2 linked regions of the Drosophila melanogaster genome follow. The protein of the gene in region 1 interacts with the protein of each later gene in a pairwise test. Each region holds a gene or a part of one and is shown on either strand. Other genes may lie near its edges.

The links.
Region 2: the proteins of srp (region 1) and CG11672 interact in a two-hybrid assay, tested with the Drosophila melanogaster proteins (one large-scale study listed by BioGRID).

The regions. Positions count from the first base shown.
Region 1 is NT_033777.3:15,989,718-16,000,227, reverse strand, and holds the start of srp (serpent), read right to left. Parts: upstream 6,089-10,510; 5' UTR 6,003-6,088; coding exon 4,504-6,002; intron 1,140-4,503; exon of another isoform or gene 1,031-1,139; coding exon of another isoform or gene 981-1,030; intron 903-980; coding exon 455-902; intron 383-454; coding exon 169-382; intron 1-168. UniProt on the Drosophila melanogaster protein: May function as a transcriptional activator protein and may play a key role in the organogenesis of the fat body. Binds a sequence element (5'-[TA]GATAA-3') found in the larval promoters of all known alcohol dehydrogenase (ADH) genes.
Region 2 is NT_033777.3:8,286,244-8,296,567, reverse strand, and holds CG11672 (uncharacterized protein), read left to right. Parts: upstream 1-5,989; 5' UTR 5,990-6,019; coding exon 6,020-6,070; intron 6,071-6,132; coding exon 6,133-6,804; 3' UTR 6,805-7,173; downstream 7,174-10,324. Other genes in the region: CG9626 (uncharacterized protein), read left to right, coding at 1-174, 243-363, 423-2,359; CG31463 (uncharacterized protein), read right to left, coding at 3,051-4,202; CG31464 (uncharacterized protein), read right to left, coding at 4,564-5,214, 5,269-5,316; nazo, read right to left, coding at 8,050-8,270, 8,328-8,529.

The sequences.
Region 1 (10,510 bases):
GCCTGGTGTGCGTGTGAAATTCTACCTAAAACCCTCTCTCTTTCGTTTGCCCAGACAAATGGGACAAACAAGCATCGGAAAGGATTTTGGTTTGTGTGTACGTTCGGTGAGTGTCTTATGTACTAGTCTATACTCATTCTTGGTTTTCCGTTTCAAATAGTAACTTACTTGCTGACAACGATGCCGAGGCGGAGAGAAAGGTTCCAGGATCTACGCGTCCAGTGGTTCCATCCGCGGCGGCTGCAGCTGCTGCATTAGCAGCCGAAATGGCCCGCCCATTCCGTATCACATTCGAGACCACTCCGGCTCCAACACCGACGCCCAACTGCGCCTGCCCGGAAGAGGAGGTGGCGTAGCTTAACGGATCGAACCAGGTATCGTTCTGCAAGTGAGTGAAGTGTATGCTGGTTAGGGGGGAGCTCAGAGCAATCATGGCAGTGGGGGCAGCACTCACCTGACCGCGATAATTGGTTATCGGAGCGTAACGTTCCACGGAGCCACTGTTGGGGTATGCGATCCGCTGGAAGGCTGGCAGAGTACCACCGCCCCCGCCGCCACTGTGGCTGCTCCTTGGCGATCCGTAGCCGTCCTCCAAGGAGCTGTTGTGTCCATTGACCGCCGCCGTTGCCGCAGCCACCGCTGCCGCCGTGGCCGCCGAGGAGCTCGAGTGGTGCAGACCCGCTGGCCCCGGACTGCTGCTGCTGGAGTTGTGGTGCTGGTGTTGATTGTGGTGATGTTGCTGCTGCTGCTGCTGCAGTTGCTGCTGCTGGTGTTGCTGATGTTGTTGCTGCTGCTGCTGATGGTGCTGCTGCTGGAGATGGGCTTGTGTTTGGTTGGGGGACTGCATGCCGTACTGAATGCCATTGGCAGTCTGAGTAAGCAACGAGCCAGCATAAACAGAGCTGTAATCAAGGAAAAAAGTTAAAATTATGAATTTGGATGTATGGTTTTATTGCATTGCTTATTCTTTGCAATTATACCTATAACAATAGTTCTTCAGATACATATTATTGTAATTCGAGAAGAACATTTTAACACTTTGTTCTTATTTTGCCCAGAGAAACGAAAACTTTGTACGCGTTTAAAATCGCTGGGCACACATTTGCACGCGTTATGCTGGCGTTTTTAACCGCAACTGCTGCTGTTATTGCCTCTGTAGAATCTCACTGTTACTGTTGGGAATACGAGGCGCTATTAACATTTCCTGCGTTTTGTTTACTTTACAGTAATGAGTTGGTTTTGCTCGGGACGGACGGACCACCAGCGTCCAATTTTTGGCATGTTTGCAGTTGAGCCAGCGAGGGTGTGGCCATAAAACTTTTAATTAAAGAATAAAAGTGTTTGCAGAGTTGTTTACCCCCGCAAAATAAAAACGTACGTAGACGTTTGTTTGTTAGCCTTAGCCAACAGTAGCCTGTGCAAATATTTTTGCCAAGACCCGGAAAGACATTCCATAAACAATAACAACTAATTGCTGCGTAAGCAAAACTTTCGTAAGTCCAACGATCTCAAAGAGACTAGGGATCAAGGATCGAAGTTTTGGAGCTTTCGTTTTCACAGGTGCACACTTATTACGCGCTGGACAGAGAAGGATCCTTCTTAGAAATTCAATCGAACTGATCGGCACAATCAGTATTTGCTTTTTGTTGAAGAATACAACTATCTATTTATTTTCAAACGGCAGCAATGGAAGGAAACTCGCGAAAGTGTTCAGCTCAGCATTGGCGTTTTCATTTTCGTTTTGATTTATTTGTGTTTTAGTTTTCAGTTTTATTTCGGGCCGAGTTCTCTGGATGACGAGATGGAGGTGGAGATGGAGATGGAGACGGAGACCGCGACCGAGAAGAAAGCACAACCGAATCGGGGCACGCGCGTTTGCATAATGACTTGAGTCGGGTTTAGTTTTATGCCAATGCAGTTGCAGTTGCAGTTGTCGCTGCTGCTGCGGCTGCTGCTGCTGCTGCAACTGTGATTGCTATTGTTGTTGCCGTGAGTGTTGGCCCAAAGTAATCCAAGTCACTACTCACACACACACACACACACACACAATGTGATCAAGTGACTAAAGAATAAAGTTAACCGAAAAAAATCGCATATCTGCGTATGAATGTATTCAATTATCAAACAAACGGCTTGCAAATAATTGACTCTTTGTTGCCAGAATTTATACGACCAAGTCTTGCAGCTAGATGCGCACGCTCTCTGATAACAGCGGTAACCGTATTTCCAGCCCGAGATGCCCCACAGCTACAGCCAAGCTATAATATATAGCTGCATATATAGGAAGTCTGAGTGACAAGAAAAAGTGCACGACAACGATATAACTTTATCGCCGCTGCGCGGTTCACTTCTGTTGTTTGTCGCAGGTGAGTATTTTGCGTCGACTTCTTGTTTTTCACATACTTATGAGTGTGTATGCATGGCAAAAATGGCATGTGAGCTGGCCAGCAGCGTGATATCTTCTTCTGGTTTCTCACTGCCACAAAAGCGAAACTGGCCAAAAAGTCACATACGAAGTGCTGGCCACATCAGCGTCACCATCACCATCCGGCACCAGATGACGTTATGTTACCACATATATGTACAAGTGTATATTTCCGTCATACGAAAGATACTTTTCCATAACTCTAATTTCACCCAATTGCGTTTCTAACATGTTTGACTTCTAAAAATCTAACATTTTGGTCTGTTCCTCACATGACTTCATATATACTTCAACTGAATGTGCATTCATGCCTGTTTCCATATGCATATGCAAAACACGTTTTCAATTTAAATAATAACATAGGGAAAACAAACGAAAAAAGCTAAAAGTATAGATGCGAATTACCAGAAAATAGTCGAGTAAAACGCGATCGGCAATGTGCGGGTGCGTTGGGTCCGCTGCCTCCCACCGATGTATTTATAATTTCCCGCCGTACCTAACGTAACGCTGCTGCTCCGCTTGCCACTCTCCTTAACCCTTCATGGTGCACTGCAACTTGGGGGTTGCTGAGTCAGCAGAGGCAGCCCTGAACACAAAAAAAAAATAGACACTTACGAAGCATTTGAGGCTGTTTCTGTTTCTGTGGGCTCCAGTTTGGGTTTCGTTCGGGGGTTTCTATGTCACGGGATGGCTTTGGGTTACCCCGGCTCCCAAACAGTCACACACTCGAAAGGTATCCTCTCACCGAAAGCAATAGAGCTTGCAACCCGAGCACCCAAAACAAGCTAGAAAAATGCGCTACAATGGCAATTTGCCTTTACTGTTTTTTTTTTTTTTGGTTTTGGCTCTGAAGAGTCGCCGCGAGTTTCGACTGTTCAATCAAATGCGGGTCGCGCCCCCTTTTTTGTTTGGCTTTTAGGAGCTAGCTTGCCACAGTCTGTGGCACGTGCTGGTTTTAGGCCAAATGTGGCAGCAACCTGGACACGTGCAACACTAGCTCACGCATGCTGGTCGGAAAAACTAACAAAGAAACTAAGTGAACCATTTAGATTTCCTGCATCTGGTGGGGAAGTCGGTGCTGCCCGGACTAGGATCCAAAGGGGAAAACTCATGAGTCAGACAAGCCATGCGTCAATAATTAAGACATTGCATATTCTTGTTTACGAAATTCGAGCGGCAATTTGTGTATATTCTGCTGAGTTCGAGTTTGCAGATGATTTCACAGAGGCGACGCTATAAAATGCCAAGTGCAAAGCCTCTTTATTTGTTGTCTCACATTGTTTACTTTGATCGTGGACAAGGTTAGTTTTCCTAATAGAAGCCGAACAATATTCCTAAATAATCGGAAAGATGACAAGATTTATGTTAAATGGAGTATGTTAAAATAATAATCAATCCCTGAACTTTATATAAATAAACTTTAAGTAGCATCTCTGAAGGTAAAAGTAACATTCTTGAATATTAAATAAAATTTCCTAAGATCGGCAGGACGAATATTTTGTCGAAAAATTTTCTATACGTTAAGCTACTTTTCTAAACCAAAAGTCCTGCCCCACTGACTTTGCTCCCACGCAGGGCGTCATGCGTGGAATGCTCCTCATATGAGACATCTGCGGAGGCTTCACAACTGTGTTTTGTTTATGTTTTTGTTGTCCCGCTGGAAACACATTCTTGGAGCAGAACTAACTTGGTGGCTAGATGAAAGTGGAACAGATTTTCGCATTCCGCATATTGAGTAAACCACCTGGGAATGCCATAACGCCATAACCATAACCGACTGTATTTGGGTATGGATTTGGGATTGCGAGAGACGGTGGAAAAGAGGAGACCGAAGTCCGAGCTTTGGAACCAATACCCACAATGGGCGCTTCTGTTCGGTTCGTCACTCCGCCCGAGCAAATCGCGCCAAGGCGGGAGAAATATGAATCAGCCGGCGCGGTTCTCTGTTAGGTGATCGCTGATCGCTGATCGGAGCTCCGATCATGACTTTTAACGGTGTCGCCAAGCGGTCGAAAGGCACGTGCGCTCGCCCGCTTCGTGATAGTGAGCTCATTACAGTGCTCCGCGGCAAGACTCACCTGTTCTGCAAGCTGCTGCCGAGCTGGGCGGCCGCAAAGTAGGCGTCATTCTCCGGCGAGAGGCTATCACGCTGGGTGGCGCTGGTCAGCTGGGTGAAGCTCTGCAGGGTGGACAGTGCGTGCGAGGACGACGGGGAGTCCCCGCCCGCCGAACTGGTGGAGTTGTTGTGGTGGTGATGATGTTGTTGCTGCTGCTGCTGCTGCTGTTGCTGGTGGTAAAGTTGTTGCTGCTGCTGCTGATGGTGATGCAGTTGCTGCTGGTGATGGTGCTGCTGCTGGTGGAGTTGCTCGTGGGTGAGGGCATAGGGACTGGAGTCCTTTAGCGTATGCATATCGGACACGGAGGTCAGCACATGGTAATCGGTGCTGTGGCCATCCTCGAAGCACTCGTCCTTCAGCGTGTCCTGGATGACCTCGTCTATGTTGGGTGTGGTGCCCTGGGCCACTGCTGCTGCCGCTGCCGCCGCCGCTGCCAAATGCTCGTGGCTAGTCATGCCCACGCCCACTCCGCCACCGCCTCCGGTGTAGACGCTGTAGAACGCAAAGTTGTTCCGCATTATGGGATCCGTGCTGGGGTAGTGCTCGTAGAGCTGGGTAGGCGTATGATGGCTGGGCGGATAGGAGAACTGCCCGAAGAGGTGGGGATGCGATGCTGCTGCCGCTGCCGCCGCTGCTGCTGCCGCTGATCCGCTGGTCAGGTCATAGGCCAGCCAACTGGCCTGGTGTTGCTCCTGCACCACCTGCTGATGCTGTTGCTGCTGCGCCTGCTGATGCTGTTCCTGCTGATGGTGGCTTATTAATTGCTGGCTGAGAAACTGTTGCTGTTGCTCGTAGATCTGGGCTTGTTGCTGCTGCTGTTGCTGTTGATCCTCAGACTGATGGTAGCTTATCACTTTTGTTTTAACACTTTCACTCGCGTCGTTCTGCGCTTTACTATTATTATTATTATTGTTAGTATTTATCGCACTTGGATCGTCATCGATCGCTGCTTCAGATGTTGCTGCTGTGTCGCTTGCTGTTGCGGTTGCTATTTCTGTTGCTGCTGTAACTGTTGATGTTGATGTTGCCGACGCGTTTGCTGTGGTAACCGCTTGCCTTGCTGTTTCGCTGACAACTGAAGTGAGAGCCTGCGAGCGAGCGGACTCAAGTGACGATAAATTCGCTGCGGCGGCCGTTGCTGCCGCAGTCGGCGTCGCTGCTTCTCCGTTCTCCGTTTCGATCGCTATTTCCGTCTCATTCGCTGCTGCATTTGATCCTGTTGCTCCCGCTGTTGTTGTTGCCGCTAAGGCTGATGCTGTTGTTGTAGCTGCTAATGCTGTCGCCGCTCGTCCTGCCTGCCGCTTGTTGTTGTTGGACTTGGCCGTGCGGATCTTACTGTCCGCCGCATTCGAAAGCAGACTACCGCCGCCCGCCTTGGTCACCGAACCCAATCCCGATCCCGACCCTATAACCGCCCCTCCCGCCGCTGCCTTCTCCTTGGGCTTTGTCGTTTTCGTCATGATTCCGGCGCTCCACACGATTATCCGGATTCTCCGCCGCAATCCACGTACGTGTCCGTATCCGGCGCGATTTTCACAGAAACTGATTTGATTTGAGCGGCTTGCGGTTCGAACTTCGAAATACGGAACAGCAAAGCAACACGAAAAAATAAAGCTCGTTAAAAATGTTTTTTTTAGAAAACCAAATCGAGAACAAATCTCATCGAGCATCCTCTCTCCCTCTCGCCATCTCTGTCCATTGATTACAGTTGCGTTTGCTTAGCACTTTGCTCTACATGCCGTTACACGAGCGCCACTCGTAATCGTAATCGCATGTTGGTGCACAGAAATAAAAATGACGATCATCTTAATTTCTATCCTTGTCCTAAGATCACTATTTATTAAGTTAAGTTTGGTTTATCTAAAGAAATAAATAAATACATATAGTAAATGTAGTAAACATGTAGTAAATCTATTCATTTATTTCTTTGGATAAAGCAAACTTAAGATAAAATATATAATAATAATACATTGAAATATATAATAAAATATAAAAATATAATATGACTAATAAACGGAATAGGAAATTAGATCTTTTATTTCATAAATTATATATACACATTAAATATACATTAAATACACATATGACTAAATTTATGACATAGTTTTTAGATTTTCAAGATTTCAACAAGGATCAAATTCATTTCGAAAACATGAATATTTTCGTCTCGTGTACAGCTTTAAATATTTCGAAATATTCGATGCGAGCTCCACGCTCCCGCACTCGCCTACTCACTCTTTCTCTTTTTGTGGATCCCTCTCTTTGGCTCCTCTCTTCCTTCGCTTACTATTCGCTTGTGCTTGCGCCTAATGCCTGCCTTATCGCACTTACTGCCTCCGCTTTGTGCTGCGTTGCTCCGCCTCTCACTACATCAGCAGCAACAACAGGCGCGGAAAGTTGAAGAAGGGGTGGGTGGGGGCAGGCCGAGGTAGAGGCCATGCCGGAACGTGTTGTTGTTGTAGCTGGGGCGGCCTCTACTGTTGCTCGATTGGTGTTGTTGTGGTCGCTGTTATTGTGGTTGGTTGACTGTCGACTACCAGCGACCGCAAAAAAGTACACACAAAATCTGGAAATTAAATGAAAAAACAATCCATGTATATTAAGAAACGTTTAAAATGTAAGCTAAGTTTAAAGGAATTTGAAAAATGTAACATTTCTTACTGAAAATTTCTATTTAAATGAATATTTGAAATGTAGAAGTATAAAGCAACAATGAAGTTTAATTAAAAATATAGTAAACATTTTCAAAAACAGAATCATTAACATATATGCATAATACCAACGGTCTAATTTGTACGGATTCGAATTATTAACAGCATAGATTAAAAATTTTGTATATGAATATGAACATGAATATAAAAATAAACAAAGAAAATATATGTTTATATAGTTTTAAGAAAATCAAAAACGTTAAAACAGTAATTAAAATAAGATACATTTATAAAAGGTACTCAATATGTAAGGCTAAATGTTCTGATTGCGTTTTGGGCAAACCCAATAATTTCATTAAACTTCAAATATAATAGCATACCAGAATTAAAAAAAACTCCCTTCACTTTAGCCCATTACTTTCGTCTCAATACTCTTCACGGTTAGTTCTTCAATTCAATCGTGAAATTTACGCATAAATCAGAACGCCTTCTGAGAGACCCAATATGAAATTTCTCAAAATTTTCAAATTACCATGCGCATAGGACTGGGGCTCCAGGATCCAGATCCAGACACATTCATGCCTATCGCGAGGACGAGAACATTAAAATCCAACCGAGACGCGTGTAGAATTTCAGGACAAATCTCGTGGCGCGACAAGTGAACGTGAGAAAAATGATGGGGAAAGACTTTCCCCAGGAGTCCGTCTGCATTTGGCCCATGCAAATTCCCGAGACGTCGCGCCAAAATACATAAAAACAATGCACTTGAGCTCCGTTCCAATGGCTGATTAAAAAATTGTTACATTTGAACCAGGACGAGTCGTAAAACGATTTTCGAGTGGGATCTTGGGAGGCTCGGGCGGTATTTTTATGGCATTTTTATCGTCATTTGAATAGGCGGCACCAACGATCTGTTTGGACATTTTGGGAACATTTTAACGATCGTTGATCAATTGGTGTACATAGTGGGCGACACACACAAGTGCTTCGCTTCCAAAACCAAAACCAGAACCAGAATCGAATTCGATTTTGAATGCTGCATAGAACGCCGAATACAGGCGACATGCGCACTCGTACATAGACATAAATCGCTTAACCTTTGTCGGTATTAAAATCACATAAGTGTACGTTATTAAATATACGAAAAATCGAAAATGTTGATAAGGTGTTCTTGGCATCGCTGCGAAGTCGTGCTGAAGTGGGGAACTAGACCGGACCTTTCCCTAGACACATGGGGACTAAGGTTGACGCCTCTCCGCGATCGCCTCATTTATTCATATTTATATATTTTTCAAATAATTTATTCACATGTTTTTCTGTTCGCCTTCGGTTGGCCCAACACTCTCGATCGGAATCGGACGAATTTCAATTTTACTACGAAAGCAAAAACAAGTATTTCGAAATGTTCAATTCGAGCTCATTGGCTGCATGTGCCTGGGATCCATAATGGAACTTTAACCTTGAAATTATTAAATGCCAACTTTGAAACACTGGCACTGACGTCACATGGGGGATCAACTCAATATAGCATGCGATTCGCGCATGTCTAGAACCTAAATTAGCCAATTAATTGCATTTGAAACCAGAAAATGTTTAAACATGTTCGTTTCAACATAGATCACTAATAAAATAAATATGCATTCCATGTAGTCTCCTTTAAAGCGAGTTAGAAAAGATCAGCTGTAGTTTAAAGTCAACTAAACGTGTTTACTATCTGGATCTTGTATAAAGAAGCTATTACACACTTGTGACTTTCTCACACTTTAATTCAGTATTTACCTAGCCGAGCTCCCCATCCGATTTGACCCTCTTTTGCCTGTGACCCCAAGCTGGCAATGTTATGCTTAGTTAGGTCTGATAAGTCGGGCTTCTATAAACGAAATGCATTGAGTACACATGCAAATAACGGTAGGCGGCCTTAAAGCCACTAGACTATGGTGAAGAACTACGCATTTAAATGTGAGTCAGGGCTGAGTGCCCCGCCCTTCGAAAAGATCCGCAGATCGGACAATTCAGATGAGTGTGTGGGGGATTCGGAGGAGCATGTGCAGTGTCAACAAACATGAGGATCTTGCTCCAGAGCGATCTCCCGAAACGATAAATCACTAGGAGATGCTATGCTAATGATGTGATTTATTACAAGTCCTTGGGAAAGGATAATCTTGTGGGTCTGCGGGCTAGGAGGTGCCCTTTTTCACACTCGATCTCCGATTGTCAATGGGCCGTGGCACAGCTCTCTGATTTTTGTTGGCGGAGGGGGGGAGGTTACCTATCGAATAGCCATTGTTTATGGCGAAAAGTCGTTTAATAAGTTTTGTACGATACATTGGGACATTAGTAAATCCACTGAGGTCCAATTCAAACAGAACATTCTTATTTGTATATCCCACGAGACCAAAGTGAAACGCACACGTACTCACGAAATCCAGGGTTTAATGCCACTAAGTTTGGCTTCAAACTATTTTGACATATTTATGGTGGCCGAAAATGGGTTACCCGGGGCAGGTTCCCCGCTCCACTCCCCTCAAACAAGTGTCAAGCGTGGCGAGTGTCTCACATATCAGGACGATGTACGATGATCGTTCATAGTCTCGGTGCCGATGTATTTATGCATTTTTAATATTTTCGTGTACATCGCGGCCATAAATATTGCGCTGGTAATCCAATACGCCACGGATCCATTTCATGAAGAGCTCTTTGTTGAGTGCTGAGTGTTCGCCTATCTTTTGGATACAAGTCGTTTGACTCCTTAAGCGCCAATTATCTGCATCGTTATGTGGTAGGCATTCAAATAAAACTCCTACAATAAACCGGCCAGATCCGATTCAAGTGGCCTGCGGCCTGCCACAAAGTTGTGCTCTTATCAAACCCATTTAATGGCCATTGAGAACATGTCTTTAACACTCTTTTAATGCAACAATAAGCGACTCAATTGTTTCGGGTTATCTTCCGATGCTGTGCGGAGATACAAGAATGGGAAAACTAACGATTTTGTCACATTTGATCAAATTAAGTTCAAAGATTTCTTAAAGTCAAGGATTAAAATTAACATTTTAAGGAATTATTAAACTAGTTTTTAGTAATATCTAAAAAAACACTGTTTTTTCAATGATAGTGTCCATTGGTATACAAACATATGAAAAAAAAGATTTTTCTGTTGCCCACATGTCAGTGTTAACAATCTTAGTAATTTTCCAATTTTATGCAAATACAATTTACATGGCATACTTATCCAATTTGTAGAATCAACACTGGCGCATGTGACGTTGAATTAAATAAGTAAACACATCATTAGGTAATATGGTCAAGCGGCTTTG
Region 2 (10,324 bases), 7.7 Mb from region 1:
CAACTGAAGAATGCTTCGCCCGATCTGCTAGAACACCCGTCCATGCGGGACTGCCAGGCCGCATTACTTAGCATTCGTAGCATTTATCCGTACTACTCCAACAACCTGATGAGGGCGGGCGTGCTCAACGCCATATCCGATGTCCAGAGCGAACTGGGACGACTAACCGAGCTGGTGAGATGACAATTAAAAATTTGAGTTATTTGTTTACCAATTTGTTTGCTAAATACTTATCATTTTAGAGCCAAAAATCGCCTTTGGACGAAGCCTGCTGCCAAGAAACCATGCAAGAGCGAACGCTGGAGTATCTGGAGGAACTCCAAGGACTGTATGAATGCCTGCAGTGCCTTAAGCTGAGTATACGTAAGAATTTCTTCCACTTAACCGAACCGTACCTTATTCGAATCTTAATGACTTTGTAGAGGGTGGAAGCAACCGGTATCCCCGAGACTTAGTGCCGGATATTAACATCACCAGCGAGGATGGGCAGCAGTTGGACTCCAGTTCGGCCTATGCCACCTGCGACAACTCCAGCCGGGATCGATTGGCTCAGGATGACAACAGTGCTAGTGCAGCTTCACCGATGGAGCATGAAACGGAGACTAGCACCACAACGGGCACTTTGTGCCGATCCAGTTTGCCCACCGTGAATGCCAATCCGATTGCCAATAATGGTGCAACCAGTGCAAGTGCTTCTGCTAAGAAAAAACTGCTGCGACTGCGAAAAATGGGTTCCCGGCAGAACAGCAAGACGGAGAGCGACAGCAGCGATGCGGATACCCACTCAGTTTTGGAGACACCGCGCCGATTGCGCCGCAAGAATTTCCGGCTGAAGCAGCGTTCCTTGGATGATGACTTCCGGTTGAGCTCGACGACAAATGAACATGATGTGGCTACTGCCAGAGAAGACATAGTCTACGGGTCACTGAAGGTTAAGCCAGGCGAACTCATTGAGCAGAGTCAGTGCGTGGCACCTGCTCCAGTGCACCTCGTTTTACATGATCCATCTTTATCTTCCTCCGCATCCACCACTCCTCTCACTTCAACCACTCCTTCCTCAATAGTTACTCCACCCACAAAGCTGGGAGCCTTTATTCCTCCTCCTCTGCCGGAACACAATCGAACATACAACACTAATGCCAATGTCTTCGTGAAGACCAAACGGAAACTCTTCACTACTATCCCAAAACCAAGCGCCGCGGAAGGCCTAGCTGTGATAGAAAAGGAGCTGGACAGTCCCACGGAGGAGAAATCGGAAAAGGTGGACAGACCTGGGAAGTCAAGATGCCCTCTCAAGCCCCTTAATCTGTACAAGTCCATTAGTTTGGACCGTATAACACAACCGCCCAGCAAAGAAGAACTCCGGAAATGTCAAAGTAGCGAACACTTCCGGCGGGGAATCCTATTTGTGCGACCGCCACTGGCTAGTGATAGCATCGAGAGATTGTCCAAGAAACATCAGGAGTTAAACAATCCTCCAGTTCCGCCTCGGAAAGCTCATCTTTACAAGAAAAACTCTTTGCACAAGTCACACAGTGCAAATGCGAGCAACAAGATTGAGCACAAGATAGCCAAGACTAGCTCAGGACCCAGTTTCTCCCGGGTGCATCCTCCGCCACCGTCGCCTGTTCCGCTAACTCTACCCAATAAACAAGATAACACTCTGCCACGAATCCAGCGTAAACATCCCAATACTCCAACCAAGGCCAAGCAGTTCGAGTTTCCGCCACCTCAGATTCTTGCGCCGGAACGTCCAGTCACTCCTCTTTCGGAGAGAGCCATACGCCTCCAGTTGGCCAAGGCGCAGTTTCTTCAAAGTGCTCCAGTTACTCCCCGCCAGGGTCCCCAAACTCCAACTAAGGCAACGGAATCTGTGGTGCTCCAAAAGAGCATCAGTGCGGGCAGCATGAGGGGTGGAGCAGGGGGAGGAGCAGCTGTCCATGAGGCGGCACAGCAACAGCATTATCATGACACATCCACGGATCAGGAAAGTGTGGGCCACTCCAGTGCCTACGATAGTTTGCCCAGAGCAGTGAGCCGAAGTGCCAAGATTTCTAGTAAACTGGGATTCGCCACTTTAACATCAAAGTTACGAAGGGGCAACAAAAAGCCCAAGAATCCACCTCCTAGTCCTGGTAGCGCCTTATCCGCCCTGTGTCGGCAAACCCTAATGGCCGATGTCATAGCCATACCACAGGCTTTCGGAACGGAGAAGCCTCCACCAAGTCCCACAGGACGAAATGTCTCAAAGTCGCAGAGCACGCCGCAGGCTGCTGGACCTTCGAATATCAATTTCGAAGGGATTCCCAAGTCGCTGAGCGAACAATATGTCCGCCAGCTCAAGGAGAGCGACGTCTAGTCAGATTCCCAGTCTCCAGTCCAGAATCTAGTCATAGGAGCAATCTATAAAATCGTTGTACGAGATAAGCGCGTGCATTTTGGGGTCAACCCGAATTAATTATTTAGATGTTGGCACAAAAGATGTCAGGTTCTCAGAACTCATCAATATTTCTTTTTTTGTACGTTAATAATTAGCGACCGTGTGCAGTAAAGTTGAGATACTCAACGAGCCATTTGCGAAGCAGAATCAGATTGATCTGCGTAAAATCAAAAATCCAAATCTAAGGTGTAGTCACTAAATCCACATTTTTTGTTTACGAAACATGCAATTACCTATTTTTATATCTAACCAAATATATTTTAAATATATGTACATTTTAAAAATATATCAAACGCTTTTCATTCGGTGCAATAAATTAATATAAATTTCCGATTACCGATTTTAAGATAAGAACCTCGGTACGAAAATAATGGGTGAACTTTTAATGTTAAGTAAAACTCACCTTTAAATTGATATTGTTTGCTGATTTCACAAACGAATTTGTGGTTTAAAAGTCTCGTAAAACAAAAACTTCTTGTAAAACCATGATCTATTTTAATCACAATCTTTCAATAATTGTATTGTAATCACAACGATCAATTTATTCTTATTTGGACATTATTGTGCCGATTATCAAACTTTGCCTTATCAATGGGTGAAATTCCAAAGCTTATCTGTGATCCTCATAGTCGTCCAACTCCGGATAGTCCGTATCATCGTCATCATCGTCCACCACGTTTTCATGGGGTATTTCCGGAGGATCAGCGCCAGTGTTCCAATAGCGATCCTCTTCGGGATGCGTGAATTCGAAGTCGGGCTTATCCGGATTCACGTAGGTAATGCAAGTGGTCAGATTCTGGGCCGTTTCCAACATTTGGGGTATGCTGTTGACGAACACCACTCCACACTCCGCAGAGTGGATGGCCTCCTCCGGCAACTGGTTGTTGATTTTGCCGTAGACATCGATTCCGACAGCGATGATGTCGTGTAGCCGGCGGATCGCACTGAGAGCGTTTACTGTACCCGACAGGATTTTGCCAACGGTGGTCTGCTTGGCGGCAATCTTCTTGCAAATCTTCACAAGACTACTGACATTGCGTTTAACCTCCTTCACAGCGGCCACTGTTTCATTCTGAATGCGCATTACCAAGGCCATGGTGCGGGAGTAGCAATCAACGCCATCGTTAATGGCCTGCAGACCTATCTGGAACTCTGGGACCAGCGAGTAACTGCAATAGGCGGCCTGACTTCCGCGGCCCCAGTAGTTCCACATGTATCCCAATCCGGCAATGGCTGCGGTCACGATCTTTGGTTTGTTCAGCTTCAGCAGATTCGTCTCCAGTTGGATGGCCCTCTCCACCAAGTCGTCAATGCCGAACTGTGCCTCGTCAATAACATCCTGAATAATCTCCCTGAGATCCTCGAATTCCGCCCTCTGATTTGGTGTGAAGTCGGGACTGGGCTTTCCCATGATCTCGTCGACAGTGGGCAATTTTGTGTCATACACCACTCGAGGTTTCTCATCCAAGTAAATGGAGAACTTTTCGCGAAAGTCTTCAAATGCCCGTAGGTAGTTGCTATCCAGTTCAGGCTCCTCCGCGGGATTCTGATCACTCCCATCGCCGCTCTGGAGCCTCAGGCTGTACAGATAGTTGTACTGCGCCTGAAACTCTAGGTACAGTGGACGCAAAGCAGCCACTTCCTCGCCAGACAACTGCAAGTCCACCTGTTGCTTCTGCAGCAGAGTCTCCAGTTCCTGGTTGGCTTCACCAAAAGCGAAGAGCAGCACACAGCCCAGCAGAAGCAATGCTTTTCCAATCATTTTGCCCGGGCAACTGTTTCAGTACAACTGAGGGAGGGATTTTGACCAGCTTCATTATCGGAAGAAGTATGGCTCGTAAAACACTATCGAAGATACCACACTTGGTTTTTCTTAAGTGGCGCAGGTTGATTAGGCTTATCCGGCTTATCGCCAATATTACGCTATATATAAACCACCACGGGGCAATGTTTTTCGAGAGAAAATTTAAATTTCTATTTGGCTTTTTATGAATGGTCGAACTGATAACGATTAAAGATAACTATGCTCATAAATATTAGGTAAAAGTTGATGTAAGTAATTAATATTTTCAAGTCGACACCAGACCACAGTTAATAGTGCATTTGACTTTATTACATTCTTTCTAGTTTATCGCACACGACTCAATCTGCGTAAAGAGGTCATCGAAATCCATCTTCAGATGATGGTAGAAGAGGCAACTTGGTGTGTCCAGGTCTTCCAAGGACATCTCCAGCACAATTGCATCGCACAGCTCCAGACTGCTGATCATCCGCTGATTGATCCTCCCGATTCCAGCGACAGTGCATAATAAAACTCCGGCGTGATTGAAACCAGACTGCTTAAGCTGCCAGATTCTGCAGGTGTTTGACAACTCACTGATCTCCCGCGAAGCCTTACTCAGAAAATTAGCCTCCAGCACGATTTCCTCCTGAAAATGATCCATGATGTGGTCCAGAGAATTCCTGCAGATACTGTACTTGTCCACCAGCTCTCGATTGAAGTGTGCCACCTGGAGTTCGTACTTCTTTGAGCATGCCCGCCACTCATCGCTGTACTGGCTTCCAAAAAACATCTCCAAGCGTCCACTAACCACTTGCTGATGGTCATCCAGTGTGTCCTTGGCTTCTTGAAGATACTCCAACTTCTGATCGAGGGCCTGTTGGGTGACGTTCCAGATCCTGGCTGCACTGGAGCTTTGGCTGGCTATAAGCTGCTTTGTGGACTCATAGAGTGGTCCATTTTGTCCCCAAATTCTTTGAAAGTGGCCATGCACCTGTAAGATCTTTTCTTTAATATTATACTTTACACAAATAATGCTATTTCATACACAAAGAAGCGACTGAAGTAAAAGCAGTGACACCCGTACTGTTGTCATCTTGAAACTAAATCGAATTGATTCCCGAAAAATTGAAGATACCATACCTTTTATTTATAGATCGCCAAAGGTTGCCTTAATTAACTAAGACTAAGAATTAAATTCTTTTTTGGGAAAGAGTTTTAACGCTTTAACAAAAATTGTTATTGTTTATAAAGAAAATATTGGGATACCGAAAAATTTAACAGCGTAAGTTGCTAAAAATACCCATGTCATATGTGATCAATATGAAACTTTAGGGTATTTAAGTTCCGAACAAAACTTAAATTAAGTTCTGAATTAGACAAATGGCTCATTTGTGTCTTATAATGTTTATAAGAAAGATTCTTATCGCATGATGACTGTGTAACGACTATATGCTTCAAGTTAGTCATCAACCTCAGCTTTCTTTAGCAAACTTGAACTGTAAATATCTCCCCTTTTACAAATAAAAGTATAATTGATCCCTCCATTATTCAACGAAGGTGAGAAATTTACAAAAAGAAATTACGAAAATTTACGAAAAATACGATGACCAAATAGAATACTTTGAATAGTATACCAAGTTCATGTACTAAAACATCATCTCAGTTCATCAAGTTAATGCTCAAATTGTGTTTCGTAGTGATTGCTATGAGACACACTCTTATCGTGACACTGGATCTCTTGACATATATAAGAAGTCAAGTGTAGGGCCAGTCGCACTAGGAAATATAACAGAAAGATGATGAGTCAAACTCTGGGAGTACTTGCTCTGCTTTTGCTGACTTTGGCAGTGAGTTAATAGTAACTTTCCATTTATAGTACTTTTCAAATTCATATGCTCCTTTATTTCAGGACTGCCAAGAAGTCGGCTATGAAACAAAGATGGAGACAGAGACTACAAACTATGGACCTGTTACCATGGTTGTGGACAATCTGGCAGAGATTGCCGTAAGTGTCAGCGACGACACCTCCATTCAGTTGGAGGAGAAAATAAATCGCACTCGGCAAAATATTGCCGGTAACATTGAGGTCCTGACCGCCAATGCTATGGCCGAACTAAGTGATGTGATCTATGAGACAAACCAGTTAGTGGTGTCCAATCCCGATTGCAACCCAGCCTGGAGCCTGGATGAGCTCAATGAAAATGTGACCCATCAGCTGGGTGGGTGTACGGAAGACTTGGGAAGCCTTTTGGAAGACTTCCGTCTGGAGAGTCAACTGGCTTTGGCCAGAGTACAGGAATTCGTACAGCAGATTGCCCACTTGCCGGCCAAGTGCCAATTGCTGGGGGCTTCCCCGCTTAATCCTCTAGCTTCAGCTGGCGGAAGTGTCTGTTTCATTAACGCGATGGCGGAAATCAATCTGGGGATGGCCCAATCCATGCACAATGCATCCCTAATCCTGGTGCAGACCCACCAGACCGCCGAGGATCAAGTGGTGCAGGCTCAGCTGTGCAGTGCCATGGTGGTGCAGCACATCGGCGACTATCTGCGCGAGGAGCAGGATCAGTGCCGGCAATCATAGTGGACCGACCCTTCCCGTAAGCAATAGTCCTAAGAGAGAACCCAGGCAAAAACAGCCAATGGCAAATTTATGCACCCGCAAGATGACAGGGGCCGAGGACTCGCCACATCCTGTTCACTTATTGCTTATGCATGACATTTATTTGACAAGTTTTTGATTGATTTTACAGCTGCTGCAGTCGATCTGGTACAGCTATCAGCATATTTGCAGGCACAGTGAAGCCTTTTTAAAGTCTGGCTTGGAATTGAAATAAAATCAATTTCAAATCACTATGTTCTTATAAAACGCTAAGAGGCGTGTGTTAAACCAAGGAATTTACACATTTTAAAATGATCAATAAATAGTGAAGTAAATTACTACTTAGTATCAAGATCTCATTTCAGTTTGATTCGACTTAGAGAGGTTGCTCTGTAATTGCATATATATACATATGTACATATGTATATTGGGCAACTTTGTGGCTAATCGCAAGTTCACTTTTCAAAGTCGCATGCATACTAATTGGCCATTGTTCGGCTAAACTGACCAATTGCCCAATGGACTTGCCCACGACACGTGGCAGCCACACGATATAAGATATAGTAGCATACGGATCCGATCCAAATGGGCGACAGCTGGCCCTAGAAAGAGATAGAGACGGAGATCGAGATCGAGATCAGCCAGTTTTTTTCCTCTTCCTCTCGCTTCCGCAGTAAGCAAAATTATTTTGACCTGCCTACCGCACACTGAGCGAATATCCGAAGCGAGTATCTGTGCATCCGTGAGATACACCAAAGCATCGCATCACACATCTCTCTCGTCGTTCACAGTGCAGCAACGAAATTTCTACGACTCTTTATTTCGGCTCTTGCCGCAATTTCACTAAGAGTCTCTGAATTTTATCTTATTTTTACTGCTTGTAACAGTTGTTGCCCTGCTGATGATCGCCTTGGTAGTGTAGCTGCACAAATTCCGCCTACTCCAACATCTGTTCAGCTCCTCCAGACATCTGACGGATTTTGATGACGTAGATCGCGCGACTCTTGTCTATTGAAAGCCGAGCTCTGAGCAAAACAATCTTTTTACATCTGGCACATCGAAAAGGCTAGTCACTGACTATTAAATTATAAGCTGAAATGGTTTTTACTATAGATTTTAAAATAAAATCATTCAGTGCGCCAACAATTTATTTATGTTGCAGGCAAAATTCTGTGTTATAGCATTAATCATCGAGAAATATAGTTTAAAAAATATTTCTATTAATGCCTAATCAACGATGGTCATTCCCATACGATCAGTGATATAGGACTTGACTGCTTCGAGTGCAACCTCTTGCACATGCCGGTTATTTAGTATTAGTCTTGCGACATCTCGAACGCGTACATTTCTAACTTCGGATATGGCCCTGATCACGTGCTGCTCCAGTTCTCGACGCTGACTCTCCGTCAAATCGTTCAAAATGACCTCACTTAGAGATTTGAAATTTCCTGGAATTAAAAGACTGATAAGAATGATAGTCACCATGTAACGCTAGACACTCTTGCCCTCCGTAAGTCCGTAGGCGGTGAGACCACCGATGGCCCCGCCCAGTGCCAGTCCCCGGGGGCCCAGCAGTAGTCCTCCGATCAGCGCAGCGCCAGCACAAATTGCAGCTCCCTTGCCGGCCTCCTTGATGGTCAACTGGATATTTTTATCGTCGGCCAGTATAGCCAGGGCATTGATTATCTCTGAGATGGCTGAATCCATATTTTCAATTTATGTATATTTCCGTTACAAAGTTTTACTTCTTTCCCGGTGACGATCTTTCTAACAACTGAGTACAATCACGTTGTTATTTCGTTATCAGTAGTGCAATAATTGTATATCCGCCACTGTGGAGGGGAGTTACTCGATACAAACCAAATCATCGAAATCAATTTTAATCTATCATTGCAATCAAGCTTCGCATATGTACATATGTAGATTGAAAGCTTTTTTTTAGGAGTACCCGATATCAGAACCCAAGTATAAAGAAATCATAATCTTATGGCAGTGCATCCAATGATTTAGCAGGCATGGAATGGAATTTTTTGAACCGCATGAATAATTACATTTCCAGTTGAAATCCCAAATTACTGGTTAAAAATACCACAAAGGCTTCCAATGCGGCACATTGCACTGTAAAATCACGCTTGAAACACTCCACAGCATTTGTAGCGACACCAACTATTTTTATAATAGCTGCCTTCACAAAGTCAACCAATTCTGCCAGGACCCTCAAGGTCAAATCCGCAATTTTCTCATACATCCAGTAGATAACTCCTACATTTCAAATACAATTGATATGATAGGTAGGTAATCGTTTAGTGTTTTATACTCGCCTTCTGTAAGTTGACCGTTTATGTTTATGTTTATGTTTATATGCCGTTGGCGGAACTTACCTTCCGAAGAACCTTCAAGGTGTTCCCTTTCCCTTTTCCTCCTCGCCGCGTTCAGGAGAGTCTCCAAAATCATTTCTAAGTCAAGATTCACCATTTTAACAAGTTTTCTGCCTGACGAATTATGGGTTCTAACGCGAACCAAACTTGTTATCAGACTTTTTTACCAGCCAATGGTATCAATAGAAATAAACGTTTGGCCAAACTTTAAAAATACCATATTTTAATACATGTACTAATAAACAAAATAATATGTATGTAACAATAGTTATCGATATGCGATGATCGATAATCTTCGCAAAGGGTAGCAAAGGTAAGAAAATAGGACAAGCTTAAAGTAGAAGTAGAACAAAGCGAGTTGAAGGTTGTGTAATTAAAAAAAGATCTTAAAGCCGAAAGTTGTCGTGTCCGGAGTAAGGAAAAGTTGTGTAGTCGTCGTATGCCCGGAGATCAAGAAGTGTTGGCACGAGTCATCTTTTTATTAAATACCTAATATAATAAGCAAACTATACTTCTATAAAATATTAATAAGATAAACAATTGTGCTAAACAATAAACATCCTACATATATTTTTAAAGAAATCTATGCATTTTTAATATTTTAAATAAAATTTTTCCTATTATTATTGTGAACACATTCCTTTTTGTTTGAGTTTTAGCACAATTCAGAGGAGTTCGTTTATATTTGGCGATTGCTTGTCAGGATTTAAGCATTAATTTGAATTTAATAGTCTTTACCTTGAGCCATATTGGCACAAGTGATATTGTCATGCACACATGTCGGAAGATTCGCATATCAAAGGGCCGTCTTCTTTCAGAATTCGGCTGACGTGCCTAGATGGCGTTTAAAAATCGCTGCCGGATTGTCTTTAATTTTGATTGATGCACCTTTAATTGCGTGGGCTTCCAAGTGCTACTGCTGAACTTTTGGGTAACTGTAACTGAATCAAGAGCGGATCGCTCTTAGCTGCTGGGAGCTAGCTAGCTAGCAGTTGTCTACTATGTACATATAAATATGGGATGCTTGAGGTTGAAGGATCGAGGTTTCCGCCTGCGACCAAATGGCGTGTCTTGCTCACACAATGCCGAATAATCGTTATTGTTGCTGGCTGTCTGCAGGACGA